Linked DNA regions of Sus scrofa. The protein of the gene in region 7 interacts with the protein of the main gene of each other region in a pairwise test. Links are inferred from orthologs where the notes say so. Each region holds a gene or a part of one and is shown on either strand. Other genes may lie near its edges. The genes, in order: PTS, nuclear envelope pore membrane protein POM 121C-like, ZMAT2, MEAF6, C14H10orf62, RALYL and FXR2.

Region 1 (3,415 bases), on a different chromosome or scaffold from region 7:
CATTCTTGCAGATTTAGGCATGAGGAAAAGATACCAGAGAAAAAAGGCCAAAAATACAGTTCAACTTAAGCAGGTAGTTTAATTATCAGAACAAAATAGGATTAATTAGGAAAAACTGTATACAAGAAATGATGTACAGAGTAATATATCCCTTTTCATTATGATTATTTTAAGAGTTTAATACATAAGATTATTTTTCAGTCTTCTGAGTTTAAATTGTTCAGGTAGCCATAAGGTTTTGTTTTTTTTTTTTTTTTTTTTGCTTTTTAGGGCAAACCTGAGGCTATGGAAGTTCCCAGGCTAGGGGTCAAATCAGAGCTGCAGTTGCCGGCCTACACCACAGCCACAGCAATGTGGGATCCAAGATGCATCTGAGACCTACGCCACAGCTCACGGCAACACGGGATCCTTAACCCAAACTGAGCGAGGCCAGGGATCAAACCCAAATCCTCATGGATACTAGTCAGATTCGGATTTGTTTCCACTGTGCCATAATGGGAACTCCAGGTCTTGAAACGTAGACAAATATAAAAGTATTTTACTGATATTCCACAATATGTTCAATGTGCTATTCCTCACAGGCAGTTCCTGGTTCAATAAGCACTGAATGATGTGCACTAAAGCAGTATTTGCAGCAGTCCCTATACCTCCATTTACAATGTGTTGCCTCAGATGATTTGTGTCTAATTTTCATTCTATATACCTGTACCTTTGGCATATCCTAGAAGTGATCAAGGGAGCTCAATCTACTAACAAATATATGTTGTCTATGTTTTCAGACTTTGTGGCCACCTGTATTTTATTTTTTGTAAGATTCATTTGCTGTATTATAAACATTTTTTCCATTTATGTTATATCAAAAAGAAAACGAACACTAAAAAGAGGCAATAGAAAAAACAAAAATAGATTTATTTTGATTTCAAATAATTTTACACCAAAACGTTCTGCTAAAACAATTGTAATTTATGGATAATACACTCTTTAAATGACACCCAGAATACATCATAGATTTGGATTTAAAATAGACTGGAATTTAAAAAAGGTCTTACTCACAATGATTTCAATAAATCAGGTACTTCATAATATAATACGAGGGTATAACCATCATGTGATGACTTCTCAATTATCCAGGGGAATAAAGACTGTCTTCAAATATGGAAAGTAATTAAACCTTTCTATGGTATTAATCTCTAAGAGCTATTCTCCTTTATAGACTACAATATTATTGTCAGTTTCATATACTTTTACTTTATAAAGAACTCCCGCAGGAAGATATTTCTGGAGGTTTTCCCATATATATACAGCTACATTTTCTGTTGTGCTGTAGGAGAAAAGAAAAGATGATCAAAAGGCAAATAAGCAAACTTTCCTGTTTAATATTTGCAGAGAACAGAAATTCTAGTTTTAAAAGATACCACTAAGCTGAAACTTTAGAAATCACATAATAACCAAATAAAAATGTCAAAATCAATTCTTCTTTCTTACTATTTACGTAAGGTAAAATAATCAGTCACCTTACAACATCTGCAAAGTATGGCACATCCAGATCCAGATTCTTATGATCAAGGGGCTTCATGATTGCCTCCTCCAGACAAAACAAAGAAAAACATCATTGATGTCATTTATGATTCGTATAACTTTGCCTCTAACCCTCGCCTTATCATTTAGACACTAACTCAATACTTTCAAGTACTGTCTTACAAAACAATCTCAGAAAGGTTCAAGTTATAAAATAAAGTAAGGCCTAGCTCTCCATAATGACTAGATATTCTCATTACTGAATGCAATAGGTAAGAAACCAAAAAAATAGAGAATGCACTGGAGCTTTCTCCTAACAAGCCTCTGTAATTCAGAATTCAGTTTAACATTTCTTGAATTCTGTCCGAAATATTATCAGAAATACTTCTCCCCAACAGTTTCATCTTTAGCACAATGTCATCAGGACAAAGATCCAATGAGTACTACATATTATAAAGGAGATAAGACTGAAATTATGATGCAAGTAGTTCTAAATTCTTGCATAAGGAGTTACTTATGAATGATCTTGGGCTCTTAGAAGAAAAAATATAAACACATAAAGTATTGCTTCCTAAAACTTTTTTATATACACACACATATTAAACATAACATTTTTCTTTGTCAATGACAGAACTGTAATTGCCTTATTTGTAAGTTTTTAGTTTTAGCTATTATTAAAAAAATCTAAGCAATCTAAAAAATACAATAAACTGGGGAATATAACAAAAAAGAAACAGACTCACCGATACAGAGAACAAACTCATGGTTACCAGTGGGGAGAGGGAACACAGGGAAGGGAATTAAGAGGTACAAACCATTATGTGTAAAATAACCTACAAGGATGGAGTTCCCTTGTGATGCAACAAGTTAAGGACCTGGCATTATCACTGTAGCAGCTGAGGTCACTGCTGTGGCACAGGTTCCATCCCTGGCCCAGGAACTTCCACATGCCTTGCGAATGGCCAAAATAAACAAATAAATAAAATTAAATAAACTACAAAGATATATTGTACAAAATGGGGAATTCATATTTCATATCTTATAATAACCATAAATGGAGTACAACCTTTAAAAATTATGAATCAGTATATTTATATACTTCTAACTTATACTGGACATCAATCATACTTCAATTAAAAAATTTTAAGCATTTATGAAACAATCTATAATTTTCCATATTATCAACAGCAATAATAGCAATCATTTTTTGAGCAAACTCTTTAAAATAATCAAATGGATACCAAGATATCAAGAAAATAAACCTTTGTTTTATCTTTGTCAGTTCAGTTCCCAACTTTTCCATTGAAGGGAGCCTCTTCTACAGGACTCTTTCTAATTTGACTCTGTAAGCCATGTGAGCCACTCTTACCGATGGGGGTGTGTGATGTCCTTAGGTATGCAAAAGTAGGGATAAGTGTAGAGAAACTCTCCTCTAGCATTAACTGTAGGCCTGCTTAGAACATCTATTTCTCATGTTTGTATTATAAACCACTTGGCTTATATATGCTTTACATCCCCAGTAAATGTAAGAACTCTGTCTACACTGCAGCTCTTCTAAAGTATTCTGAGCACCGTACTGTGTTCACTCATTCATTCTCTTATTTATTCAATGAACACTTATTGAGCACTCATTATTCTTTACCTCCTGGAAAAAAGGCATGTGAACTCTGTGGCTAAGAGCTATGTCTCATTCACCACTGTATTCCTTTTTTAAAAAAAATTTTTATTATAGTTGATTTACAATGTTCTGTCAATTTCGCTATACAGTCAAATGATCCGTTATACACATCATCACTGTATTCCTAATACCCAGCTCAAAGGCTGATGCAAAGCAGGCAAACTTGTTGAATATATGGATGATAGGTAACATGAAAAAAGTAATTATTAATAACAGCAT
Region 2 (4,847 bases), on a different chromosome or scaffold from region 7:
GTAAGGGCCAGGGGCTACTTCTTGCTAGTGTGCTGCCTCCGGGCCTGTAGCTGTTGCCAAGCCCCTGGGGGCTTGGGTCCCGCACCAATGGAAAAGGAAGGTCCTTTTCTAACAAAGCCCTGGATGGGTGTTGAGGACGCCCCAAAGGAGAGGCTGCTGCCTGATGTGCCCACCCCAGGGCCAGGGGTGCTCTGACCAAAGGTGGGCGTGGAGGCGCCTCCAAACACAGGTTGGCTCTCTGCACTGCAGGCCACATTGAGGCCAAAGGATGTGTTCTGGCTGGGTGCACCCAGGCTCTTCTGACTCAAGCCTCCCACAAAAGGAGTCGTGCTGCCAGCGGTCCCACTCTGTCCTGCTCCGGAGCCAAAGGCTCCTGAGGCAGAGCTGGTGCCTGGCGAAGCCACACTGAGCCCAAAGCCTCTGCTGCCAGACGGTGGGGCTGCCCGTCCCCCAAATGTGAAGGGAGATGGTGTCGTGCTACTGGAGCGACTGGCCCCACTGCCGGTGGTCTGGGCTGTAGCTCCAAAGCCAGAGGTGGTGGCTGCACCAAAGGAGAAAACGGCTGTGGTGCTGCCAAAGGCTGGCTGGGGGCCGGCAAGGGTGCCCGAGGCAGAGGCTGTGGCTTTCAGGCCACCAAGAGTGGACTGTGTGGTGCTGCCAAAGGCTGGCTGGGCTGTGGCTGGAGTGGCAGTCGGGGCGGGGGCTGCAGAGTTTCCCAACGTGAAGGAGCTGCACAAGCTGGGGACAAGGGATGGCTTGGCAGCCCACTGCTGCTGCCCATCAGTGGCCCCAAACCTGGGCTGGGCGTTGGATCCTGGCTTGGCACTTGAGCCAAAGGGAACGCTGATGGCTGGGCGGGGGGTGCTACTGAATGTCAGCGTGGCCTGGCTGGTGGTGGCTGGGGCAGAGGCTGGAAGGCTGCTGCCCAAATCACTAAAGCCAGCAGTGCTAGCGCTGCTGCTGCTGCTGCTGCTGCTGCTGCTGCTGCTGCTGGCCACTGCCTGAGGGGCACCGGGAAGGGACTGGCCAAAGCTGGTGACTGCTCTTGAAGGAGGCATGGTGGGAGGCTTACCAAGCTGGACTATGGAGCTGGAACCCACAGCTGGGTTTGTGAAGCTGCCACCAGAGGCAGAGGGAGTCCCAAAGAGGACGGGCTGGGAGGTGGAAGCGGTGGTGCTAGTCACGCGGCTCAGGGTGCTGGTCATGCTGCTCACACGGAAGCTGAACACGGGCTTCAGAGCAGAGTCTACGGAGGTGCCAGCTGTGGTCGCAGCAGCCACTGCAGAGGTGGCGCGGGTCTGGCCAGGGAAGAGAGGGGCGCTCATAGCACTGGCTGGAGGAGCTGCCTGCTTGAAGAAGGGAGTTACTATGGGCACGGATGCAGGGGCCTCCCTGGTGTGAAAGCCAGGTTTAAAAGTGCGGGATGGGCTGCGGGTACTTGCGGGGAGGGCTGAGCTGGAAGATGTGGTGGCTGGGACCTTGGAAGGGCTAGAGGGCAAGGGGCCCTCGTTCTTGCTTTTAGGAGGGGGCCAAAAAATGGGATCTAGCACGGGAGATGGTGAAGACACAGCAGGAGCTGCAGAGGCAGGAGGCTTAGCAGGTGAGGTGCCCAGCATTCTACAAGGAATGTTCTGCTTGGGAGGGGGAGGGGGGGCCGACAAGGCTTGGGAGTTGGCAGACGTCTCAGCCTCAGGGGCTGGAGGTGACTTGGTGTCAGTGACTGGTCCTGTGGAAGAAGCGGGGGTAAGGGTGCCGCCACAGAAAACGGCTGTAGGTTTGCAGTCCGAGGAGGTGCCCGCGAGAGGCCCTGACTGTGAAGAGCCAAGAGGGGCCAGAGGGCTGGGTGTCTTCGGAGGCGAATGGGCCACAGGGCTTGCCATGCCAGCAGACTTGGGGGGCGATGGTAGGCCTGGGGAATCCTGCTGCTTCTTCAAGCTCTTCAACAGTGGGCTAGGGCTTGGGGCTGGGAGGGAGGTTTTGGTGGCAGGAGTCCCAGCAGTAGGCAGGCTGAAAGAGACCGGAGGCTGACCGGTAGGTGGGTTCTCAGGGACAGCGCTCAAGGCAGTATCAGTCTTATCCTCCAAGATCTCGCTGAACCATTGTGACAAAGCTTTCTTTTCCAAGTCTAAGTCTTCCGCAGTGACTGAATACCCAAGCTGGGGAGGTGGAGGCAAGGTCAGCTGCTCCCCTCGCCAGGACCGCAGCAGCTGCACCTTCCGCTTACGCTGCCCTGAGCTGCCAGGTGTTGGTGGAGAACTCCACGAGTTCTCTTTCTCCCTTGTGGTGGTATCGGCAACTTCTGCTCCCTGGGACTCCTTGTCTGTTGTGAATGCAGTTGAAGAAGCCGAATGATGAGAAAGTTCCTCTTCTCTTATTTCCTTTGCTGGCCTCGCTAGAGCCTGGGAGCAGGACGAAGCTGGCCTGGAGAAGGGGGATGACCTAGGACCACTCCTCTTCCGCAGCTGAGAGAGACCTCCAGTAGAACTGTAAGAACTGGTGATGGCATTGCGCCTGGAGATGGGCACGCCGCCTGAGTACGTGCTGGTCAAGGAGCTCAGAGAAGAGGTGCGTGACCTCTTATTTAAGTGGGCATCTGAGCTCTGGGGACTGAGACCTCTCTTCAGAGACCCAGGCTTAGGCACAAAAGAGGCAGGGATTCCACTGGCCGCCAGCGGCTCAAATGCTGAATGTCCACGTCCACTGCTGTCCTGGCGCCTTCTCTTTTCTTCCTGGCCATCAGCCAGTATTTGGTCTTCCTCCTTCACCGTCCTTTTCTTCCTCGCTCTGAGGGCACTCAGCACAGTCTCCTTTGCACATGGGTCTGGGGCACTAGCTGATGGGGAGGACACGGTTGAGCTGCTACTCTGCTCTGATAGCGGGGGACGAATCCGCTTGCTATCCGGAGGAGCAATCCTCACTCTCACTGGGCTGCACACCACTTTGGAATTGCGAGCAGAGAGCACAGTCTTCCTGTGACAACTATTCCAGCACACCGTGGGAAGGACCCCCAGCGAGGCATAGTGGGCCTGCTGGATTGGGTATCTCCTTCGAGGTGTTATTACAAACCGATGTGCTACAGGGCCACAACCCCGGAGGGCCGTCCTCCTAGAGGGTCGGGGAAGAGGAGTGGGTAGGGAGGGGTGAGTATGAACCCCGGGGGTATGGCCTGATGGAGCTGGCGGCATGGGGCGGGTGGGCGGGCGGCGGCCAGGCCTCTCCCGCAGGTCCCTGGCCTCCGAGGTGGAGGCAGGCTGCGGGGGGGCGGGCTTGCCTAGGTAGTTGCCCATGAGGAACAGATGAGCGCGGGTCCAAGTCCTTGGAAGAGGCGCGGAGGCTCTAGGAGACTTCCGTTTACTGCTGACTACGCCGGAGGCAAGGTGAGCAGTGTTCCATGGCAGCGCGCCTTCAGAACCAGCGAGGTTCGGAAGGCGCGTGAACCTCGGGGGGCTCGCGGCGCAGGCCCCACCAGGCCGCGGTCGCCCCCACAGCTAGCCAGGCCAGCGTAACCGCCACCCCCGCGGGCACCAAGTACAGCACGAGGCCCAGCAGCCACAGGCCCAGCAGCGCTGCCCCTGCCCCTGGCGGCACCAGCCCACAGACCCAAGGTCCCTAACACTGGCTATCAACCTCCGCTCCACAGGTTGCCTCCTGCAGTCACCGCAGCTGCTGCAGACACCGTGACTACGCAAGCAAGGGTAGCCCCGGAATAAATAATAATAACAAACAGTCAAAAATAAAACCCCCAAAACAAATGTGCATGCGCCAGATATACTTGAGTGAAAATAATCACATAGGTAAGATACAGACACATATACCTATATCATAAAAATGCTTGGAGAATGTCAACTTTAGGATAATGCTACACAGGCAGGGGATGAGGCTATCAATGAAGACAAAAGGGGAACCTCAGTGGGATGTACTGTACTTGATTTTACAACACTTTCCAAATCTGAAATAGACCTAAGTAACATGTTAAGACATGTTAAACATAATCTCCATATGATGAATGATTCATCATCTTTGTATTTTTATCTACGGTTGAAATAATGAGAAAGTGGAGAAACGTACTACATGTCTGTATGTTAAAATGTTTAGAGGATTCAGAAAAGAACACAAATAAAACACTATCTTTACATAGATAGACAGGTAAATAGTCTAATATATTCGACCAAAATAATAGTCTTTGGTGCCCCACAGTTTTAAAACTTCCAAAGGACCGATTACTTGTTCCCTCATATGACTACATGACTTGTAATCATTCAGATGATTCCATCTGAATGGTTAAAAAGAAACCAAATGAGGTCATCTCATTTGAATGTAAATTAGTACAGCCATGGTGGGAACCAGCATGGAGATTCCTCAAAAAGTTAAAGGAAAAAAAAAAAAATACCATAGGATACAGCAATTTCAAACTGAAGGACATGAAATCGGTACTTCAAAATGATATCTGCACTCCCATGTTCACTGCAGGAACATTCACCATAACCAATATAAGAAAACCAGGTAAGTGCCCAACAACAGATGAATGGATAACGTGTGTGTGTGTGTGTGTGTGTGTGTGTGTGTGTGTGTGTGTGTGTGTGTGTGTGTGTGTGTGTGTGTGTGTGTGTGTGTGTGTGTGTGTGTGTGTGTGTGTGTGTGTGTGTGTGTGTGTGTGTGTGTGTGTGTGTGTGTGTGTGTGTGTGTGTGTGTGTGTGTGTGTGTTATCCAGCCTTAAATGCCCAAGAGATCCGGCCACTTGCAGCAAAACAGATGAACCTGGAAGACCTGCTAAATCACATAAACCAAACACAAAAAGATAGAATGATCTCACTCATTTATAGGATCCAAAAGTGGAATACATAGAA
Region 3 (5,038 bases), on a different chromosome or scaffold from region 7:
GTTAAGGATCTGGAGTTGCTGTGAGCTGTGGTGTGGGTTACAGAGACAGCTCAGATCTGGCATTGCCTGGCTGTGGTGCAGGCCAGCAGCTGTAGCTATGATTCGACCCCTAGCCTGGGAACTTGCATATGGCGTGGGTGTGGCCCTAAAAAGGAGAAAAAAAAAAAAAAATCCTAAGTCTCTCAAAAAGTCTTCCTAACATTCAAAAATCTCAGAAAGCATGCAAAAAAATAATATGGCTAAAAAAAAAAAATATATATCCTTTGGCAGCAGCTCCAGATAACAAGATATAAGCGGCTTTCAACTATCCTTACAGAGTACATGCATGTGAGTGTGGACAGCTGGGCCCAAGAAAAGACCATGGTTTGGGCTTGGGCTTGTTGAGAGTCTAGAACAGATTCGCACCTCTTGGACTCCAGAAACATTAAATAAATAGTAAAGGATCCTATGCTGAAGGAACTATAGAATTCCCTTGACATTAAAAAAGAGGCCCAAGAGAAATGACCCTTTCCCCCACCCTATCTCCAATTCCCATCCCAGCCCCAAACTACCTCTGAGCCTTACGTTTCTTTCCATTAATGTGATCCAGGAAGTTGATAGAGTCTTTCACTACACAGTCACAGACATTGCAGTAATACCTAGAAAACAGAAAGAAACAGCACTCGGGTTGGTGGATTGTTGTAAGGATTTTGTCGCTTTTGACCAAGAAACATGTATTTTGAAATCAAAGTTCTTTTTAGAACAAAGAGGCCTCCACACCACAGCATGACAGAGCTAGGAAGCAGACCCTCTAGACCCACTTATACCTCAGATGAATGCAGACCTTTGAGGGCAACTTTGTGAGAAAGCCTGAGCCAGAACCACCTAAGTAAGTCCCAGATTCCTTACCCCCAGATATTGTGAGCTACCTGCTGTTTTACGCTGCTAAGTCTTGGGTTAATGTATTCATTTCTATAGCAGCAGATAACTAACACAAAGAGGAATGACAACAGCGGGTCTACTAAGCAGCTCAGAGAAGTGTCACACATTGCTATCTGTGTGATCCTCCTGCTGGAAAACCTAACTGGACAGAGAAGTAGTGGTGGGCCAAAGGAAGGAGAGTTCCTGTGGGAGCCTTCTTTCTAAAGCTTATAGTCTTGGTCTAATAGCAAGGTGCACAACCAGGAAATCCGTAACAACTACAACCTTTGCAGCTAGTTAGTCCACAACCTTAACCCCCTTTATCCACCATCAACAGCTCCTGGGCTTCATTCTAGCTTCACCTAATTCCTCCCCTAGACATCTCCTCAGTAGACCTTTCCTTCATGTCTTCCTCTGGCAGGAGAACAAACAATTCCCTTTAAGATATTAAGAAGTAGTTATAGTACTAATATAACAAAGCCTACAGAGTGACACCTCGTAGAGACACTATTATGTTAACTTGAGGCCTTGGAGAACAAAGCATGGAATGACAGAAAACAAGGTTATTATTCTGGGGCCAAGTATCCTGCTCAACACTTCCTGAAACCAACCTAGTTTTATGTGACTTACTCCTGGATGCAGAGATAAATGAAAAGCCACTTACCCTCCCATCTCAGACTGTGGGGTAGTCTTGGTAATGACAATTGTCTTCCCGAGCTTGGATTCCAGGTCCACCTTGTAATCTCTATGCCGGAGAAGCTCTCGCTTGACTGGCTGCACGGGCTTTCCTGGAATATAATGGGGAAGGAAGTCGCTTCATTATCAGAGATCCTTAGCCAGAAAGGAAAAGAAATGCATAAAATGCAAAATCCAGAAGTCTACCTTCATTTCTTTTTTGAAACCTGAAGCAAGGGACAAAAGAGTCCCTTCTAGCAGTAGCTACAGAGAATTTCAACACAGCAAAAATGATAAGCAATCCTTAACTCCCTACATCTTTTCTCCACTTTAAAGCCAACAAGTCTATGGCGTTCCCATCCTGGCTCAGCGGAAATGAATCTGACTAGTATCCATGAGGACGTAGGTTTGATCCCTGGCCTCAGTGGGTTAAGAATCCGGTGTTGCTGTGAGCTGTGGTGTAGGCCAGCAGCTATGGCTCGGACTCGACCCCTAGACTGGGAACCTTCATATGCTGCGAATGCTGCTAAAAAGACAAAAAAGAAAAGAAAAGCAAGACCACTCATTTAGTGTTTTCAGACAGATACCCCATGTGTAACACGGCAATCTTCTGAGAGCTGGGGAAGTTTTTTAAAGAAGAACTATTATCTAGGAAATATCTGCTATATGCCAAGTACTATTGCATGAGTTACATAAAAACCAAAAGTGCTGGAGTATGCAAGTAAAGCAAAAGAAAGTACAAGTCTGAAAACAGAAAAGAAAATAAGACCAACTCCCTGACAAAATGTAAGGCACAGAGAACAGCCGTAAGCACTAGATGAAACAATCAATCCCACGTTCCCCAGGTTAAGAATCCGGTGTTAAGAATCCCACGTTCAATAGCAGCAATACACAGCAGCAAAAACACTCCACTTAACTTCTTCTGAGGATCACTACTGAGGATTCCACTGTCTTCCCTGTACTTGAGGAAAGCACTAAATGAGCCAAGCAAAGGAAGGGCAAGGAAGCAGGGAACCGCAGAGCCGGAAAGCACCTCCAAACCATTTCAGTTCATCTCCTCACGCCTATCTTACTTTTCTACCTGAGGAGCCAGGGAGGCACTATTCTGCCGGAGGTTACACAGGAAAGGGGGCAGCGCGTTTCAACCCCCCACCGACTCGCTAACCATTGCTTCGCATCTGCAGTACACTTAGCACTTGATGGAACAGGCACCCACCATCCTTCTTTTCTCTCTCTTCTGTGAGCCTCTTCTCCGCAAGCTTCTCATATTCATCTTTGTCCCACTTTCGGCGAAAGTCCAAGTTTTTTGCCTGTGGGGGAAAAGGGGCTGAAGATTCGTCGCTAATCGTGTCCGACCCCTGGACAAACAGAAGAAACCGCTCCCCAGCCGCTAAGGCGGCCCCGGGACCTGGGAAGAGCGAAGCCTCTCCGGACAGCACCGGGAGGCTGAGGTTGCCTCAGGACCCCAACCCGAGACCTTCCCGCTTCCGATGACCCTGCGCCAGGGCCTTACGGGGGAGCTCTCAAACCAAGGCGGTTAGATCGCCAGGAGGTGTCGGGAAGCCAGGCGGGTGCGGGGTATTCAGCGCCGAAAAGCCGCCCCGCACCCCCCATCCCAAGCCTCCTCACACACAACACCTACCCCGCTACCCGACGCCATCTTCACAGCGAAGTGAATGGAAAGCCGGAAAATGCCGTAAAAAGCGGCCTTGCGCCGTAAGGCAAGCCCGCCCTCCAATAAGCTTAGAGTCTCGTGTTCTAAACGAGCTAAGGACTGGAGGATTTCTAAAACAAGATCGTCGGCCCCGCCCCTGCTCCAAGGAAATGGCGCATGCGCAAGGGGAGTATGAAGCAACGCGGAAGTAAGGGCGCCTGCGAGGGTTTTTCACCCTGGCTTTAAAAACAAGCACAGATTCAACCCTTCCATTTTACGTAAGAGGAAAATGAAGTTCAGATCAGCGCCCTCCGGTCTAGTCTAACCAACCTGCGTGCACTGCCAAGAGTTTCCAAACCTTCTTAAGGCTGAAGTTCTGTTATCAGGGGCTCTAGATGCCTCTTTACCTGTGTGCACTGAAGATAGGGCCCCAGAGCTCCTAAGAGTTTGCACAGGCTGTAGTCTTCCTAATGCACAAACTGAAAGCGCTGTTTGCATTTTGTCTCTTTATCTTGAAGCAATGCTATCACCCCTTGGTTAACTCATTTTTCCTTCAACTGAGAAACATCACAATTATTCAATCTACAGGGCACAATTTAATCAACACGATCGGACCTGGGAAGGCCAGTCATCAGCAACACTCTAGGGTGAAGAACTCTAGCAAATGTCACACTACACACTGACTTAGTGAGGTGACTGTATCTCACAGCTGCGGGGAGGAGGAAGCATGGCTGTTCCCTTCACCAAAAATAAAACATCACCCCAGGGACGTTCCTCTTAGCTCACTGCATCCTCCAGTGTGCACTCAAGCGTTTTCTATGGCCTATGCAAACAAATCCCTCGATAACAAATTACCCAAGCTTCTAGATTTAATATTTTATTTAATATATTATACAACCACTTCTAGAACAGCCACCTCCACGGCAGGACATGGACTAGTTAGAGCAGGCATAGGTAATGGTCTCCAAAGTCTCAAAAGATCAGATCTCCATCTTGTCAGGTCGCCTATTAAATTCAACATTCAAGATTATTAAACAGACGGCCTCACCCTGATTAACACTGGGTAGGCTAGAGAGACGTCATATTAATATGGGCACTGCTGGGCCCTTGGGCTAGCATCTCTGTCCTCAAACAAAACAGAGAGCAGTCATTGCCCCTTCTTGCTGTTTACCAAAAACTCCCTGGACAGGCCAAGACCACACAGTGGTCAAACTGCCCAGAATTTGGTTCAGAAGCGAAGAGTGGAAGGCTAAGACATGACTTCTGATCTCAGTGGTTCAGAATCGTCTCAACCTGAGGTGACTTTCCCAGAGACTTGTTCACAGCAACCATCTTATTAGCACATGTTGGCAGCGTTCAACGGCACTGCAAGTCTGCCATCTGCCTCTGCAGTTAGAGCATGTCTCTGTCACATACCAGCCATCTGCGCCCATGCAGTATAGCTGCTCTCACTAGCCCCAGAGTCCTCAGGACCTCCTACAATTCTGTACCCAGAAAAGATGGAGGATGCGTAGGCACGAGTCAGCCATCCTGGCCAGCAGTTGTAAAGTTGTGGAACAGGAACTCAGTCCTAGATGAAACCTTTTCTACAAAGAGCAGCAGGTGGCATTCAGGCAAGGATCAAGACTCAGATAGTCGCTTCTGAATTTCAGCCACAAGATTTTCTCGCTTAATGGCCACCTGAAACATAAGAGAATCTTCATGTGACAAACTAGAGAGTGATACTAGCACCTCAGACACTGCTTTTCCAGATTCATTTAATTTGGCAACTATTCCCATGACCTATGCAACCGGTAGGGAGTCTGGGCT
Region 4 (4,341 bases), on a different chromosome or scaffold from region 7:
TAGCTATCTAGAGAGTCCAGATGGGAAAAGATGCCCCAGGAACTTTCAAGGACTTTACCCCCTACTCTAGATACTCTGAAATAGGCAAACAATTCTTTCTTTTAAAATGACACTAGGGTAAACTTAATAAAAGCAACACAGGACATGATCTTTTTATCTTGACAATTAAAAAAAACTTTTAAGAGTATGCTTCTCTGCTGTTTATGATTAAGCTAGTAGCATCAGTCCTTTCACAGTGACCAAATTCACTATAGCCTTACCCAAAAAAAAAAAAGGTATGTAATGTTGGCTCTTTCTTACTGCACTTATGAGACTGGCATGTGATTTTTGGTTTGCAGAAAAATGTGAAGCAGCTGTCCTTAGTCACTATCTGGAGAATACACTATTCCTACAGTCTAAAAACCACCACCACCAGACAAGAAAAGCTCTTAAAAGAATTAAAGAATCAGTTGATACCAAGGAGGCTTACACCCGTTAAGAGTCAATTCTCTGTTATCCCTGTGTGCCACAGCCACCAAGCTAACATTAACACCCTGCAAGTGTGAAGGAATGTTTTATGGGACAAGCCAGCCCAGAAGCAAACTGGAGGACACGGAACCCCACCCAGTCCTTGCACGCCCCCTTTCATATCCTCGGCAGGTAGGCTCCTAAGTGGGGCAGGAAAAAGCCAGCCTACTGAGCATCTGGTTTTCATGCCTCTCAGAAGAAGGTTTGGGGACAAGAATCCTGCCTCCAGAAACTATGCATTACCCTCTCTGAGTGCAGCTGTATAATTTCCAATTATCTAAGCTAATAGGCCCTGGAACTATCATACTAACCCTAAGCAGGGGGACACGTGACCTCTCTGGCTGTCCCCTGACATCTCTGCCCACCAATGTGATTCCTATCTCATTACGCACTGCAAAAAAGAAACAAAAAAAACAAAAACAAAAAAACCCAGCAGACCAACATTATCTAGAAAGGTGCTCTCATATCTTACAGCCTTTAGACTGTTCCTGTGATACTAAAATCAGTATATTGTAGTGATATATAAAAATTTAAAAATCAGAATCAAAAAACTTGTATTTAACAAGAAAAAAGGCATGTCAGATCAGTTTTCTCCATCTTCCAGGGAATAAGAATAGGCAGGGATCAGCATTAAGAGCAAAAGACTTATCCCACTTTGCCCTTTCCCGATACATACTAGTGGCATTTTCCAAATGCTAGTACAGAGATTCCATTCTACTTCCCTTTTCCTCCTCTAAAAAGATTTCAGAGTCACTGCATTAAACAAAAGTGTCATGGAATCAAATCTGTCTACACTAGAAACAGTGAGAAAGTTGTCTTCCTTCGGAGTTACTCTGATACCCACCAATTCCTCCCTTAGAGAGAGAAAAATGAGCCTGTTTCCCTTGGACCACATGAATGTCTCCCCATCAGCAACAGAAAGACTGCACCAACCCCAAAGAATGTTTATTTCAGTAAAGTCCCTTCACAGCAACGGCCATGGAAGCTCTAAGTGTGTGGGGCTGGGATGGGTAAAGGTGGTCCCTGCCACTGACCTGTGCCGGTTTTTATTCTTCCGTTTTTTATGGCTGCTGTGATGACTCCCTGAGGAAGTAGAAGAAGCAGCCTTCTGAGGTTTCACTCCCTGCACAGATCCATCCAGATCCTCAGGGTCCTCCTGGCTGGGCTCGTTTTCCTGATTGTGGAAGTCAGGAGAAGTATCACTTTCCGTCCCACTTCCTGGTTCCCCTGGAGGGAATAAACACAAATCCCCCAAAGCGTCATCAGTATTCTCAGGCAGCCTGTCCATCAAGTCAGGAAAGATGCTTTCTGAGCCCTAATACACAGAAGACTATCCCTTATCCTCAAGGACCAATTGACAAGGAAGATACATACAGTCAAAGCATCAAAGTTACCAGAGGTCCTGAAAAACCTATAACCTGAAACAGTGTAACCAGAGGCAACAGATGATGGACAGCTGGGAGAATGGACCACACAACCAGGATAACCTCATAGGATACATTAATGGGATTCATAATTATAAGAGAAGCATTACAGAAAACATCACATAAATCTTGGGAGGTGAGAGATGACCTTGGGAAAACGCCCTACAGCTGGCCCTGGTTCCTTCCCTAAACCACACAGGAATCCTAACTTCCACCAAGAAAACAGGCCCAAGAGAAGAGCCCCATTACCTAAGTTACTCTCAGAAGCCTTAAGAATGATATTTTTAATGGTAATAATAGCCTTCAGATGATACATATTCCCAATTTAAAACATCCTTTAGATATACTAAACAAGCAAGTTCAAGAACAATTTATATAAACACATGTTTTTTAAGAAAAACTACATATATATATATATATATATATTTTTTTTTTTTTTTGGTCTTTTTGCCTTTTCTAGGGCTGCTCACATGGCATATGGAGGATCCCAGGCTAGGGGTCTAATCGGAGCTGTAGCCACTGGCCTACGCTAGAGCCACAGCAACATGGGATCTGAGCTGCATCTGCAACCTACACCACAGCTCACAGCAACACCGAATTCTTAACCCACTGAGCGAGGCCAGGAATCGAACCTGCAACCTCATGGTTCCTAGTCAGATTCGTTAACCACAGAGCCACGACAGGAAACCCATGAAAAACTACATATATTTTGGTAAATGTATACTTTTTCTTTCTGAAAGGAAATTCTTGAAACTCTTAATACGAAAGGATGGGGGAAGACTTTCACTTTACTGAACTGTTGAAGAATCCTAAATGTGTACATTACCTATTTCTAAAAATTGTTAAAAGAGGTTACATGAACAGCAGGACCAGTGACCAGCTTTCTTCTTTTTATGTTTTTATATCATAAACTGCCGGGAAAGATTCCAAACTGAGTAGCACAGGGATACGAGAGCTAAAAGATGCAGGCCCCAAAAAGCAGGAGAAAGCAAAGAGAAAGCAAAAGGGATCTCAGCCATCATGAAACCCTATTTTTGAAGACTTCATGAAACCAAGAAAAGAGAAGAGTTCTAAAACTATGAAGCTAGATAAAATAAACTGATCAATCCTGTCCTGAAGTTTAGGAAAACAGATTTCATGTAAAAATTAGCAAAAGAACCTCACAACTTATCACACAAAGCTAGAGTAACAAGACTGTGTAGTAGTGGCATAAGAACAGACCATAGGTCAAGGGAACAGAATTCAGCGTCCAGATATAAATCCTTACATTTATGATCAACTGATTTTCAGTGGTGACAAGACAATTCAATGAAAAAAGGATAGTCTTTTTGACAAATGGTGCTGAGATCACTGAAGCCTGCAACCCTATCTCACACCATATACAAAAATTCACTTGATGGAGTTCCCATCGTGGCTCAGTGGTTAATGAATCCGACTAGGAACCATGAGGTTGCGGGTTTGATCCCTGGCCTCGCTCACTGGGTTAAGGATATGGGGTTGCCATGAGCTGTGGTGTAGGTCATAGACACAGCTTGGATCCCGAGTTGCTGTGGCTCTGGCGTAGGCCAGCAGCTATAGCTCCGACTAGACCCCTAGCCTGGGAACCTCCATATATGTATGGCTGGTGAGGCCCTAGAAAAGACAGAAAAAAATAAATAAATAACTTGAAATGGGAGTTCCTTTGTGGCGCAGTGGGTTACAGATCTGGCATTATCACTGCAGCAGCTGGGGTCACTGCTGCGGCGCAGGTTCGATCCCTAGCCTGAGAATTTCCACATGGTGCCGGCAGAGCCAAAAAAATAATGACAATAATAACTCGAAATGAATCATAGACCTAAATGCAGGAGCTATAAAACTTTTAGAATCCATTGGATTAGGCAAAGGTTTCTTAGCTAAGACCACAAAAACAAGCATGACAGAAGAAAGTATATGTAAAGTGAACCATATCATTCATATAAAACTCTTGAGCTGCATGTATCACCAAAAAAAAAAGTAAAAAACCCACAGTGGGGAGGTAAGGGCAAAATGAGTAATGGGGAGTTCCCGTCGTGGCACAGTGGTTAACGAATCCGACCTGGAACCATGAGGTTGCGGGTTGGATCCCTGGCCTCGCCCAGTGGGTTAACGATCCAGCATTGCCGTGAGCTGTGGTGTAGGTTGCAGACGCGGCTCAGATCCCGAGTTGCTGTGGCTCTGGCGTAGGCCGGAGGCTACAGCTCCGATTCAACTCCTAGCCTGGGAACCTCCATATGCCGCGGGAGCGGCCCAAGAAATAGCTAAAAAAAAAAAAAAAAAAAAAAAAGAAAAAAGAAAAAAAATGAGTAATGGAGGTCAACTACACGGTAACAGGAGGAAACTAAACTTGTAGTAGTGAGCACGCTGTCGTATATACATAAAATTAAAATATAAT
Region 5 (4,049 bases), on a different chromosome or scaffold from region 7:
GGGCCCACCTCCCACCCCTGTTTACTTCCTTGCCTCTGAAATCCTGTCTCTCCTCCCAGCTCCCGGCTGCTGCTTCTCTTTCTCTGGCAACAGCAGGGCAGTGGGTGTTGAGCCCCCTGGAGACTCCCCAGAACCTGAGACCCAGGAATCAATTTTACGGAGCCCACCCAGAGGCCGTGGCAGGAGGAACCCTCTCCCCACTGGCCTGCCCGCACCTGAGGCTGGCCCCAGAGCCCCAGACTCTAAGTGAGGGTGTTCAAGGCTTTATTGGCTCAGGTCCAGGCGTTTGGCATCAGGTGCTCTTGGCTGCTCCTGGTATCGGCCTCTTTCATTGCCTCTCAGTGGGTCTTCAGGGGCCTGTGCGTCTGCTTGGCTTCCACCCAGCTCTTCCTTCATCAGGGGACATCAGTGGCAGCCTTTGCTCAAGGAGTCAAAAGGGCCCAGGACTCCTGTGGGGGCCTGACGAAGAGGGGCTTTGGGCGGCAGCATCTTAGTCTGGGCCACCTAGGCTGCCCCATCGGAGAGAAAACAGGCCTGTGTGTGCCAGCCTTGTTGGGGGAAGGGGCATGTCCATCCGTGGTTAGGTGGTCTAATGGCTGCGGTTGGGCAGGCTGTGGCTCTGGTGGCTCGGGTGGCTTGGATGACCCTGGTGGCCCTGGTGACTATGGAAGGTGTGCGTGTGGTTGGCGCCAGCTATGGTGGCTTCCCGCTGGGTGAAGAAATTGCCTTTCAGCTTTAACTGCACCTCCTCGAGCGCTTTCAGCTCTTCCTGGTTGATATCCTTGGACTCCAGGTGGCCTGAGTTCTGGCACGCCATGACACGCTGCAGCATGGAGTTGGCCAGCTGCTGTCCCTTGGCGTCAATGTCCTTGGTACAGGCAGCCACGGCGGCCCACGTGGCCTCCTCCGTGGCCGAGGATTTTTCAGACTCCTTGGGAGTTTCTTTGGTCACCAAGGTCCCAGACATCCTCTGCTTGCTGGTGAAGGACTCCCGGTGAAGAGCCGCGCCGTCTTCTCCCTGCCTGGTGGTGAAGGTCTCCCCGGGGATTGTCGTGCTGGCCTCTCCGATGCCACCGTCAGGCTGGGGAGCCCCCGTGATGCCGCAGTTGCCCCCGGCCGTGCTGCTGGTCCCGGCTGTTCCTCCGGCGGGCAGCTTCTCTTCGGAAAGACGGCTAAAGTGCGATTTGATCCAGTTCTCGTTCTTTTCTTCGTGGCTTTCTGGTGGCTCTTGCTCATCTTGTGCACCCTCAGAAGCTGCCTTCCTTCTCCTCTTCCTCTGCATCCACAGCATGAGGCCTCCACCTCCGAGGAAGAGGGCGGTTCCCAGCACCACCCTGCATGATGGTTGCTGGATGAGCTCCAAGAAAGTCTCCAGGACCCCACGCCAGGCAGGCAGAGCTAAGAGCACACTGGAAGTGGGGGAGCCCAGATGGTATGGCTCATGCTTGAAAAGACAGGCTCCCCGAGGGTATCTGCCAGGCAGGCCCCCTGCTGTGCCCTCCCTAGGAGGCCCCTCCCACCTCAGCAATGAACCCCATTGTGAGGAAGGTGGTTGGGAGGGCGGGGGGCGGGAGAGAGGCCATGGCATCCCTTATGTCTGGTCTGACAGGCATGGCCTGAGGCCTGGGACCTTTCTCCCACCCTGACAGCTGTCCCTGAGGCCGGGGGAAGGGCACCTTCCCCAATTCTGAGTCCCTTCTGCCTTCTGCTTGTCACCTATTCTGCAGCTCAGACCTTCTTATCTTCCAGTCGTTGGTTTCTCTTCCTCTCAATCTGGTGGTCTCCAAGGGGCAGAGGCTGCTGGGTCAGGCTGGCCATGGCCAAAGGTCCCACTTGGCTGGGCTGGCATCCATTCCTGGCTGCCTAAGTCTAGTGTCTTTCTCTACTGCCAGCTTTGTGCATTCCTTCCCCACTTGTGGCCTCCAGCCCCCTTACACATCAGGGTCGAGAAGAAAAAGGGGTCCAGGAAGGAGCACATTCTGGAATAACATGAGGTCACAATTGGGGGAAGACAAGCAGTGGGCTGAGAAGATTAGACAGGACAGGAAGCTTCACCCAGCCCTAGATCCCTGGGCTGTTCCAGGATAGGGATCCACCACCTCTTGCCTTAGTGTCATACCTGCAAACCTAGAATCTGCCCACACCCTCGACTCTCCTGTAAGTGGGCACAGTTCAGGTTAAAAGCTGCTGGGACAGGTGGCCAGGCTCTCTAGATGTACAGACAACTGAGAGTCTGGCCTCCAATCCCAAGTTATACTCAGGGCCTCTCAGGGTAGAAAGAACCCTGGTCCACTCCCAGAGGCATATACAACTTTTTTTTTTTTTTTTCTTTTTAGGGCCACACCTGTGGCATGTGGAAATTCCTAGGCTAAGGGTTGAAACAGAGCTGCAGCTGCCAGACTACCCCACAGCCACAGCAATGCAGGATCCGAGGCTCATCTGCGACCTACACCACAGCTCGTGGCAACGCCAGATCCTTAACCCACTGAGTGAGGCCAGGGATCGAACCCGCAACCCCATGGTTCCTGGTCGGATTCGTTTCTGCTGCACCACAACAGGCACTCCATATACCACATTTTTTAATGCCAAAATAGGACTATTAAAATTGTGATATTTTAAAATACTGTATTTAACAAGGTAGTGGCTTTAATATACACAAAATATTATACCTTAGTCCAAGAAACCATGGTTTATCCTTCATAATAAGGGAATAACAGAAGCTTAAAGTTTTGGGCAGGAGTTCCCGTCGTGGCTCAGTGGTTAACGAATCTGACTAGGAACCATGAGGTCAAGGGTTCCATCCCTGGCCTTGCTCAGTGGGTTAAGGATCCGGCGTTGCCATGAGCTGTGGTGTAGGTTGCAGACGCGGCTCGGATCCCGCGTTTCTGTGGCTCTGGGGTAGGCCAGTGGCTACAGCTCCGATTAGACCCCTAGCCTGGGAATCTCCATACGCCGTGGTAGCGGCCCAAGAAATGGCAAAAAGACAAAAAAAAAAAGTTTTGGGGAAATGTCAGCTCTCCGGGCTTGCTAGAGTAGCTCTGGGGTCATCCACTCACCTCATTTGGAAATAACAATTCAAAGTTCACCTTTGAGGTTGTTTGTGGGTATGAGTTCAGGGACAAAGGACCTTCTGCAAAAACTCCTCCCTCTGGTCTCTGGTTATAAGTTTTTATTTTATTTTATTTTATTTTATTTTATCTTATTTATTATTATTATTATTATTTTTTGCTATTTCTTGGGCCGCTGCCATGGCATATGGAGGTTCCCAGGCTAGGGGTCTAATCGGAGCTGTAGCCACCGGCCTACGCCAGAGCCACAGCAACTCAGGATCCAAGCCGCATCTGCAACCTACACCACAGCTCACGGCAACGCCAGATCCTTAACCCACTGAACAAGGGCAGGGACCGAACCCGCAACCTCATGGTTCCTAGTCGGATTCGTTAACCACTGTGCCACGGCGGGAACTCTTTATTTTATTTTTTTAGCTGTGCTTGCAGCACGGAAAAGTTCCTGGGCCAGGGATCTAACCTATGCCACAGCAGCGACCCAGGCTGCTGTGTTGGCAATGCCAGATCCTTAACCTGCTTCACCATAAGAGCAATTCCATGAGTTTTATTTTAAGAGATTATGCTTTACTCAAATAATTAGTACAAATTAACAATGCCAAAACACAGATAAATAAAAAGAACTATTCAGTTGCAGGCAATGCCTTCCAGAAGATTCTCTTAAATGGTCACAGATTCATCAAGGGCAGGTTCCCATCTCTTTGGAGGACCTTTAACCCATGGCAGGAGGCCCTGGCACTGTGAAATGTGATGGGTCCCTCCTCCACCCCTGAGTGTTGGCTGCAGTAGGGGGCAAGGAACAGGCAAGGAGACAGATTTTTTTTTTTTGTCTTTTTGTCTTTTTTTTGTTGTTGTTGTTGTTGTTGTTGCTGTTGCTATTTCTTGGGCCGCTCCCGCGGCATATGGAGGTTCCCAGGCTAGGGGTTGAATCGGAGCTGTGGCCACCGGCCTATGCCACAGCCACAGCAACGCGGGATCCGAGCC
Region 6 (4,341 bases), on a different chromosome or scaffold from region 7:
ACCTTGCCCATAAGAACTCAAGAAGCGTAAAGACAAAAATTTCCCCCTTCCCAACATAGGAGAAGATACTCTGGAAAATTAGCTGTAGTTCATTAACACATGAATAGGGCTTTTAATTGAACTTAAATTGGTAATTAATTTTTTTAATTTTAATTTTTATTTCTTTACATATATATTTTTTCTACTACATAGCATGGTGACCCAGTTACACATACCTGTATACATTCTTTTTTCTCACATTATGTGTTCCATCATAATTGACTAGACAGAGTTCTCAGTCTACACAGCAGGATGTCATTGCTAATCCATCCCTAAGGCAACATTCTGCATCTATTTACCCCAAGCTCCCAGTCTCTCCCACTCCCTCTCCTTCCCCCTTGCCAACCAGAAGTCTATTCTCCAAGTCAATGATTTTCTTTTCTGTGGAAAAGTTTCCTTTGTGCCATATATTAGAGTCCAGATATAAATGATATCATATGGTATTTGTCTTTCTCTTTGTGACTTACTTCACTCGGGATGAGAGTCTCTAGTTCCATGCACATTGCTGCAAATGGCCTTATTTTGTTCTTTGTTATGGCCGAGTAGTATTCCATTATGTATATATACCACATCTTCCTAATCTAATCATCTATCAGTGGACATTTTGGTTGATTCCATGTCTTGGCAATTGTGAATAGAGCTGCAATGAATATGTGGGTGCATGTGTCTTTTTTAAGTAGTTTTGTCCAAGTATATGCCCAAGAGTGGGATTGCTGGGTCATCTTTGACAAAGGAGGCAGGAATATAAAATGGGAAAAAGACATTCTTTTCAGCAAGTTTTGCTGGGGAACCTGGACAGCTGCATGCAAATCAATGAAACTAGAACACACCCTCATACCAAATACCAAAATAAACTCAATATGGCTGAAAGACTTAAATATAAGACAAGACACCATCAAACTCCTGGAAGAGAACATAGGCAAAACATTCTCTGGTAATTAATTTTTAAAAATTAATGATTTAATGAATTTCTAGTATGTACTAATTTCATACAACCAAGACATAGGCAATAAATGGGTATTTCTCTGATAGTGGCTCAGATATTGCCCCAAAGAAGGAATTTAACTTAGAAAGAAAATTGGTCAGAAAACTCCCATATCAAGGTCAACAAGTAAAATGGGGACATTAAAAAAGGGGACAAATGTAAAACTTACTAAAGTCTTTTGGAAAGCACTATCTGTCTTTAAAATATAGATATGTGAGTTGTAGAACTATAGTAAGAGTATATTCCTTTATAGTAATCACTATTTGTGGTTTTATACCAAGCATTTATTTAAGATATCTTTTTTGTCCTCAAGACTGTTACCTAGACATCACTCTCATTTTATTGGATTCCATACTTTCCCCCCAAATTTTCAAATAACTTGATAATGCAATTTTATCACACCCTTCTAATCTGATTTATCTATGCTTTTATCTCGTTTCCTTCATATGCTCCTGTGTCTTTATGTCTGTGTACATTATAGTAGTAGCATCATAAATTGAAATATGTAATTTCAGAGATATGAAGTAGAATAATAGATTAGAGAGTGTAGGCAAGAGGGCAGAAGACTATTTTATTTTAAATAGGTTGAAAAGCCTCTTTGGGTAAGTAGAATTCAAGCACAGCATACAATAAAGTAGAAGGAAGAAAATAATTAGCCAAGACCTGTTTTCAGAGCAGAGGGAATGGCAAGTCCAAAGAGTCCGAGGCAGAAACAATATCGGAATGGTTGAGGGATATCAGGATGGACAGCAACACTGAAGTGATACAAGAAGGTAGAGAAAAGAAGATGGAGTTGAAATGTGGTAGTGTGGGGCACCGTAGTTTTGTTACAGAACATAAATCTTGTTCTGGGTGAGATGGAGGCACTCAAGAGCATATCAACAGCATCATCTTAGGTTTTAAAGGGGCACTCTGGCAAGAATGGAAAGAGGCAGACCAGTTAGAGGGGTATTTCAATGGTCCACGTGATATAAAGGTGGTCTGTATTAGATGGCTATTGATATAGATTTAAAAGTTGATTGCGTTTGGGATATACTGATGGCAATAAACATGATGATGGTTTACATTTAGAGTGGGGGAGGAAGAGAAGAATTGAGGTTGACACCTAAGCCTTCATTTGGAAAACAGGATAAATGGGGGTTCTATTTGATGTGATGGAGAAGCATGGGGTGGAAGAAGCTGGGGTGTGAATAATCAAGAGTATTGTTCTGTATTCTGGGCATAACAGCTGAGATGCCTGTTGGATAGCCACAAGAAGATGTTGTATAATCAGTTTAATATATAAATGTGCACGTGACAATAGATCAAAATTAGGAAATCACTGATGTCTTCATTATACCTTTTCCTAATAGAAAAAGACTAATTTTTATTTTTATCTGCATACTAACAAAATATTTTCTCCAAAGAAGTTTCACTTTACCTCTGACTTTCTTTGTGAAAGAAAAAACTGTATTATTCCTTGCACATTAGACATAAATCTGATTATTACACATGAATGAACAGTCATGACATACAAGATTCCTGTCTAGATAAGAAATAATAGGTTATATTCCTTTCCCAATTCTCAAGATTCATTTCCTTTTGTTATTTTCCATCCCTTCTCTCCACAAATACAAACAATAAATGAGGAAAATATATCAGCCCCTCAAGAGCAAAGGTATAAATAAGTAAAGTTATTTGGTTTGGTTTTGTTGCTCAGCATAGTGTTTCCTGGAAGACAAAAACACCATTTCAAGTCAAATAAGGTTAAATATGACGCACATTTTTAATTTGCCTGGACCTGTTAGTATTGGTGGAGGTAACAAGTGTTACAAAGCAGACTTGACCTCAAGCTTATAAATTTGTAGAGAAAATAAGACACATATGTAAAACAATATGAGAAAAAGAGAATAATATAAATTATAAATATATGAGCACTATAGTTGGTAAAGACAGAAATATTATGGAGTGCTGGCTTTTAAACAATAAGACCATGTCTAGATATGTGCAGAGACAAGAACATCAATATGAGATCTGTAACTGAGCAGGACTTACCCAGTGGTTGTCCAGCGATGATCCTGGCATTTTCTCCAGCCACTGCAGCTCTTGCGTGTCGCTCACTCATGTACTGTACAAATGCGTAACCTTTGTGAACTGAGCAGCCAACTATTTTTCCATATTTTGAGAAAATGGCTTCAATGTCAACTTTCTTGACAATGGCTGTATTTAGATTTCCAATGAAAACTCGAGAGTTGATGGACTTGGGGTCATTCTTATTGGTGACATTGCTGGTCTGCGTTTTGCCAGTCATGGTTGGCTCGCCTTGTTTTAACTCTTAAACAAAAACAAAAAAACAAACAAAACAATCAAAATGGAAAGAATTAGATTGAATGGATACCACTGGCTTTTAACAGTTTTTCAGTACTGTACCAGGTAACCTCAAATACATAGGTACTACTGATTTTCTTGAGAGGAAAATTTAGTTATATAAAAGGTACTACTGCATTGCAAAATGCAATAGGAAAATATGTTTAATTATTCAGCATATATTTATACATAAATTCCAGATTTATTTATCTAAAATTTTGACCTGTACAGTAATTAAACTCTTTGCTTTATTTTTAAGTTTATAAATATTTCAGAAGCAAGTGTGAAGAATAAGTCACCTAATTAATCAATGAAAAAGAATATCCATCATAGCTAAAGTCTGATGATGGACCATAGTACTGTAGGCTCCATTTATTGTTGAGAACATGTGTTTTTATTTCTACATGTTACATAATTGGTAGATATTGGCTATTTCACTATCAGAACCCTTTTATCAGAAACTAACAATTCGTTCCATTAAATGCTGTGGAAGAGAAAAAAGAGATATTAAAAGTATAAACATTAATTAGAAAAGTTAACACAAGAAAAATGATTTTGAAAATAAAGGATTTAAACAGAAATAATTCTATACATTCTCTTTAGTTGATCCAATTTCAAATGTCAGTTTCATTAAAACCCAGTATGTGTAGCTAGTTTTCATCAATGATCAGCAAATTCACAGTCCTTGTTTCTGTGTTGAAATTTCTATTCTCAACCTCATTTTTAATTAATTTAACTAACGGCTCCTATGTTGCCTAAGGACTGCTAGTAGTTCTAAAAACCACTTTCTGAGCTTGGCAGAATGTTTAATTGTGCTTAATTAAACTCAATGAAACTTTTATTTCCAAGTATGCCAGCACTTACAGATTTATTTTTTAAACTTTAAAAATTCATCCATTCATTCATTTCACAATATTTATTAACAACTTTTTTTTTTTTTTTTTTTTTTTTTTGCCAGACATCATCTTCTC
Region 7 (4,341 bases):
CTACAGCTCCGATTCGACGCCTAGCCCGGGAACCTCCATATGCTGCAGGTATGGCCCTAAAAAGCAAAAAAAAAAAACCTAAAACAAAAAAACACAAAACTCTACTCTAGTTCAACTACTTCACCATCACGTAAAGAAGAGAAAGCTAAAAAAAATTAAAAAGAAGAGAAAGCTCACTGAAATCCAATTATCTGCTGAAGGGCAATTATTTGCCAAAGCAAGACTTAGGATTCCAAGTCCAGTCGTCTTGCCAGTGTGCACATGGCTCTCAAACATCCCACAAAGCAGTTTGGTTCCCAGAGGTAAATCAGGGGGTGGCCTGTGGAGGTGAAAGTGATGATACCCTCTCCAACTTTTGGACAGAGCTGCTCTAATTGATCCGTAAAGCACTGTGCTTTCATGTAAAATTTCACTTGATCAAAAGGGTCCCATAGCTTTAAAAAAAAAGAGCCTGTACTAAAACATGATGGCGCTCTGCCATCTGGAGGAGTCTGGGATAAAACAGCAGACCCAGGTTAAATGGCCCAGAAAGACCTTAATCTCTGTTCTGCAAACACAGGGGCATGGGTGGAGAATGGGGTGGGAGGGAGGAGAACACCACCACCCAGCAGTAAAAAGGGCTTAAAACTTACCTCTAGGTGCTTGGTAGCTTCCTCATTGCGGGACATGAGCAGCAGTTTGGTGCGCAGGCTTCGGAAATGCATATCCCCCAGCAGGGATGCCCGTTTCACAGGAGCTTCTGTGGTTGACTGGAAAGAAGACAATGGAAAGGCCATTAAAATGGACTGAATGCACATTGGAAGAGAGCCAGGAACTGGGAATCAGGATGCCTGAGTCTCTGAAAAAGAATGGATGTTAAGAAACAAATCGTGTCAGTCTCACAAGGACCTACTACATGGGCGCCTAAGGGAAGGATTTTAAGTAGCAAACACAGGTGAGAATCACATGTTTTTGAGAGTCCAAATATGCAAGAGAGGGTCCCTAGCCCAGACTGTAATACGATGGTCAGGTAGGAAAAAAACTAAGGTCACACGTGAGAAAGACTAAGGAAACATAGGCTAACCCGAGCCCACAAGGGTCTGGAGCTATACAGTCCTCTCTGCCAAATAAATATAAGCACATTTTAGCTCTTCCTTCTTGCAAAGGATTAAAAGGGGAGTGGGCTTAGGTGAAATTCAGGCAGAATAAACTCACCAGAATGAAGAGCTCACTATTTGTGATGTTGAGAAAGATACAGTTGGCTCCCAATGCTTTCTTGAACTCTTTATGGACATTTTCATTGGAGCAGCTGCAGGGAAAGAGGACAGTGCTCAGAGGGCAGAGTGCAGAGTTGAAGGTTCAGGGGAGAGAGAAAGAGGGGACTGAGAAAAATAAGAGGGACTTGAGTAAAAGAACAGGGATGAGGAAGCAGGGGAACTGGGAGCAAAAAGGGCTCTAGAGGGCCACGGGAACAACAAAGAACACTGAAACTGGAAGCAGCGCCTGGGAGAAACAAGGGCAGCGATGAGGACCATAAAGAGGCCCCCACTCCCAACATCCCCAACACTCACGCCTCTCTCAGATCCTCAGGCACAGCCATGGTCACCTTGAAGAAGCTGCCTTTGGTTGCAAGGGGATTGGGATTAACTGGCCGAAGCCGTTCCAGGGTGACAATCTCATTGTAAGTGGCATCACAGGCAGCATATTCAATGACATAGAACTGGCAGGAGGAAGAAGAGAAAGAAACTATGGATGACCTGAGTCTCCATCTCCCACCTTTCTTCCCCTAAAATGGGTTTGGTAGCTCTGCAAAGACCTTCACAACCACTCACATCTCCCTTCATCATCCGCACTCGGGCCAGCCACCAGCCGCAAGGTTCTTGCTCATTGGCTCGAGAATAAACCTGAAGAGAAGAGAAGTTCAAAATAAAAGAGAATTGAGGACCATCCAAAAACATCAAGAATGGAGTAAACATTAAGACACGTGAGAGGCATCCTAAACTAAGATAAAGGAAACCAGAGGAAGGAGCTGCTAATTAAAATCAGAGGGCTCTGGACTTTAGATGCTGTTGTTATACAGAGAGAACTGAATCCCCTGAAACTGGGAAGCTCCCTGAGAGCTTGGCTGCATCACACAGTGACGGACAGAGAACTGCTGCATTTCACTCTCCCACAGGCTGCCCAGCTCAATGAAGCAGCTTAGCTTAGGAAGGAAGGAGAGTGAGCCACAGTGGCGGGGCCAGGATACCGGCATCAGGATAAGGGAGATGCAGAATCCTGGGAAAAGCGACATTTAGCAAGGGAGGACGCCATGGTCCTTACCTCCACCTCATCCCCTTCTGTAATCTCCTTATTATAGTCAGCTGGCGGTGGTAGCCGGACGTCCCCAAAAGGAATCTGTCTCTCACTCTGCCAGCTGCAAGGGAAACGGTGATACGAAAGCTATTCAGGCTCTGCACTTGTCCATTTCTTCAGGAAGAGGCTACTTCCTCCACTGTGCATTTTCTACCCTCCCTGGTGATTAGGCGCTAAACCCCAGGCCCTCCTCCATAATGGTGTCTCTCATCTCTTGCGAGAACCTAAATACTGAGTCAAATGCCCCCCGATCCTCACATTTCGGCCCTTTCCTCTCCTGTGATCCAGAGAAGTTGCCCACCCAAACCCTTGGCTCTCCCCCACCTATTACATGCCTCATGGGATTCAGCCGCCCCCGCTTCTCCACTCTCCTTCTAGGACCTACTGGATTCTCTATTCCCAAGGTCTTACTTGTTTTCAAAGAAGATGGTGACAGAGTCTTCATGGACATCCTTCACAAAGCCCTAGAATGGATTTGAGAACAATGAAAAAAAAGAAAAAGAAAATGACAATTTACCACAACCTCAGCTATGAAGGGAACAGACACTTTTGGAATTTTAGACTGGGACACAAGCAATCTAAAAGCAGGGACAAAAAAGCTGTATTGGGGAAGGAATGTGAATGTTGAAGTTGCAAAAAAAGAAATAATATTCCACGAAAAAAGATGTGGCAAAATCCAGTAAGTTGAGAGAGAAATTAAGTAGAAGGGAGAAACATCACCTACATCACAACAGCCTGGAAACTAGTGGACTCCTATGGCTCCCACAGGGGCCTCCATATCTGTCTGCCTCCTGCTGTGCTGAGCAGCTTGCCAGAGTTCAATTAAAATACCAACAACATTCAGCAAAGCTAAGAATATCCCATGAGACAGTGTGAGGCTGCCCTGGAACACCTAAAGGACATCAGGATCTGCCAAGAGAAAAGGGTCTAGCTCCCTAACACAGCAAACTTGGTGGCTAGAAGACTGGGTCCTAAGGAGATAATCGCAACACTGGAGAAGTTCAAAATGAACACAATTTATGGCAGGAAAAAATAGAATTTAAAAGATGTGAGGGAGTCAGACCATAACATGGGGTTTAGCATGTTCGACTAGAGTCCCTCTCCCCTGCAAATAAAATCACTTTTATGTTTAAAAAAAAAAAAAAAAAAAAAAAAAAAAAAAAAAAAGATGTGAGACTTGGACACTGCTAAGAAACTGGAAAGGAATTCCTACTGTAGCACATCGGGATCAGCTCAGCAGTGTCTCTGGAGCCCTGGGACACAGGTTCAATTACCGGCCCAGCACGAGGATCTGGCTTTGCAGCTAAGGCTGCAACTGTGGCTGGGATCTGATCCCTGGCCCAGGAACTCTGTGTGCTTCAGGCAGCCAAAAAAGGAAAAAAATAAAAAGAAACTGAAACAACACCAAACTTGAGATCATGACAAGAGAAGGAACAGGGATGACTGAATAGCTGGTCTACCTATTTTCTATGACTCACTGAGGAAGCCAAAGCTATCCATTTAATCCTATATTCCCAATTTTGCTACAGTCTCTCTTTATTTTTCAAAAACTCAAAATTAGAGATTGCTTATTTTGATAAAGTCCAATTTATCAATATGCTCTTTTGTTAACTGAGCTTAACGCCACAGCCACAGCAACACAAGATCCAAGCTATGTCTGCAACCTAGGACCAAAGATTGTGGCAACACCAGATCCTTAACCCACTGATCGAGGCCAGGGGTCAAACCCATGTGCTCATGGATACTAGTCAGGTTCGTTACAGCTGAGCCACGACAGGAACTTCAGTTTTATAGTTTTTTACATTTAGGTGTAAAAAAATTTTGAGCGAAATTTTGTATATGGTGCAAGATATCATCATAAAAAAGGTTGTTTTTTTTACATATGGATATCCAGTTCTTTGATCACCATTTGTTGAAAGACTATCCACTATCTGAGCTATCTGCTGAATTGTCTTTTCACTTTGTAAAAATCAGAAAATGGGAGTTCCCGTCGTGGCGCAGTGGTTA

What was found.
Region 1: the proteins of FXR2 (region 7) and PTS interact in binary tests that used the Homo sapiens proteins (3 or more experiments, as listed by UniProt). The two-hybrid records come from large-scale screens. The link is inferred for Sus scrofa from reciprocal best matches to the Homo sapiens genes FXR2 and PTS.
Region 2: the proteins of FXR2 (region 7) and nuclear envelope pore membrane protein POM 121C-like interact in binary tests that used the Homo sapiens proteins (3 or more experiments, as listed by UniProt). The two-hybrid records come from large-scale screens. The link is inferred for Sus scrofa from reciprocal best matches to the Homo sapiens genes FXR2 and POM121.
Region 3: the proteins of FXR2 (region 7) and ZMAT2 interact in binary tests that used the Homo sapiens proteins (3 or more experiments, as listed by UniProt). The two-hybrid records come from large-scale screens. The link is inferred for Sus scrofa from reciprocal best matches to the Homo sapiens genes FXR2 and ZMAT2.
Region 4: the proteins of FXR2 (region 7) and MEAF6 interact in binary tests that used the Homo sapiens proteins (3 or more experiments, as listed by UniProt). The two-hybrid records come from large-scale screens. The link is inferred for Sus scrofa from reciprocal best matches to the Homo sapiens genes FXR2 and MEAF6.
Region 5: the proteins of FXR2 (region 7) and C14H10orf62 interact in binary tests that used the Homo sapiens proteins (3 or more experiments, as listed by UniProt). The two-hybrid records come from large-scale screens. The link is inferred for Sus scrofa from reciprocal best matches to the Homo sapiens genes FXR2 and C10orf62.
Region 6: the proteins of FXR2 (region 7) and RALYL interact in a two-hybrid assay, tested with the Homo sapiens proteins (2 studies listed by BioGRID and IntAct). The link is inferred for Sus scrofa from reciprocal best matches to the Homo sapiens genes FXR2 and RALYL.

The regions. Positions count from the first base shown.
Region 1 is NC_010451.4:39,925,278-39,928,692, reverse strand, and holds the end of PTS (6-pyruvoyl tetrahydrobiopterin synthase), read right to left. Parts: intron 1,586-3,415; coding exon 1,515-1,585; intron 1,322-1,514; coding exon 1,198-1,321; 3' UTR 889-1,197; downstream 1-888. UniProt on the Homo sapiens protein: Involved in the biosynthesis of tetrahydrobiopterin, an essential cofactor of aromatic amino acid hydroxylases. Catalyzes the transformation of 7,8-dihydroneopterin triphosphate into 6-pyruvoyl tetrahydropterin.
Region 2 is NW_018085157.1:60,464-65,310, reverse strand, and holds the start of nuclear envelope pore membrane protein POM 121C-like, read right to left. Parts: upstream 3,382-4,847; 5' UTR 3,288-3,381; coding exon 15-3,287; 3' UTR 1-14. UniProt on the Homo sapiens protein: Essential component of the nuclear pore complex (NPC). The repeat-containing domain may be involved in anchoring components of the pore complex to the pore membrane. When overexpressed in cells induces the formation of cytoplasmic annulate lamellae (AL).
Region 3 is NC_010444.4:142,409,301-142,414,338, reverse strand, and holds the start of ZMAT2 (zinc finger matrin-type protein 2), read right to left. Parts: upstream 3,370-5,038; 5' UTR 3,236-3,369; coding exon 3,218-3,235; intron 2,886-3,217; coding exon 2,792-2,885; intron 1,689-2,791; coding exon 1,565-1,688; intron 639-1,564; coding exon 565-638; intron 1-564. Other genes in the region: probable histidine--tRNA ligase, mitochondrial, read right to left, coding at 4,850-4,909. UniProt on the Homo sapiens protein: Involved in pre-mRNA splicing as a component of the spliceosome.
Region 4 is NC_010448.4:93,564,520-93,568,860, forward strand, and holds part of MEAF6 (chromatin modification-related protein MEAF6), read right to left. Parts: intron 1,735-4,341; coding exon 1,542-1,734; exon of another isoform or gene 1-1,541.
Region 5 is NC_010456.5:108,961,982-108,966,030, reverse strand, and holds the start of C14H10orf62 (uncharacterized protein C10orf62 homolog), read right to left. Parts: upstream 2,801-4,049; 5' UTR 1,589-2,800; coding exon 590-1,588; 3' UTR 1-589.
Region 6 is NC_010446.5:52,216,612-52,220,952, forward strand, and holds part of RALYL (RNA-binding Raly-like protein), read right to left. Parts: intron 3,338-4,341; 5' UTR 3,315-3,337; coding exon 3,059-3,314; intron 1-3,058.
Region 7 is NC_010454.4:52,892,734-52,897,074, forward strand, and holds part of FXR2 (fragile X mental retardation syndrome-related protein 2), read right to left. Parts: intron 2,799-4,341; 5' UTR 2,746-2,798; intron 2,396-2,745; 5' UTR 2,302-2,395; intron 1,884-2,301; 5' UTR 1,827-1,883; coding exon 1,812-1,826; intron 1,700-1,811; coding exon 1,551-1,699; intron 1,289-1,550; coding exon 1,195-1,288; intron 750-1,194; coding exon 633-749; intron 1-632. UniProt on the Homo sapiens protein: mRNA-binding protein that acts as a regulator of mRNAs translation and/or stability, and which is required for adult hippocampal neurogenesis. Specifically binds to AU-rich elements (AREs) in the 3'-UTR of target mRNAs.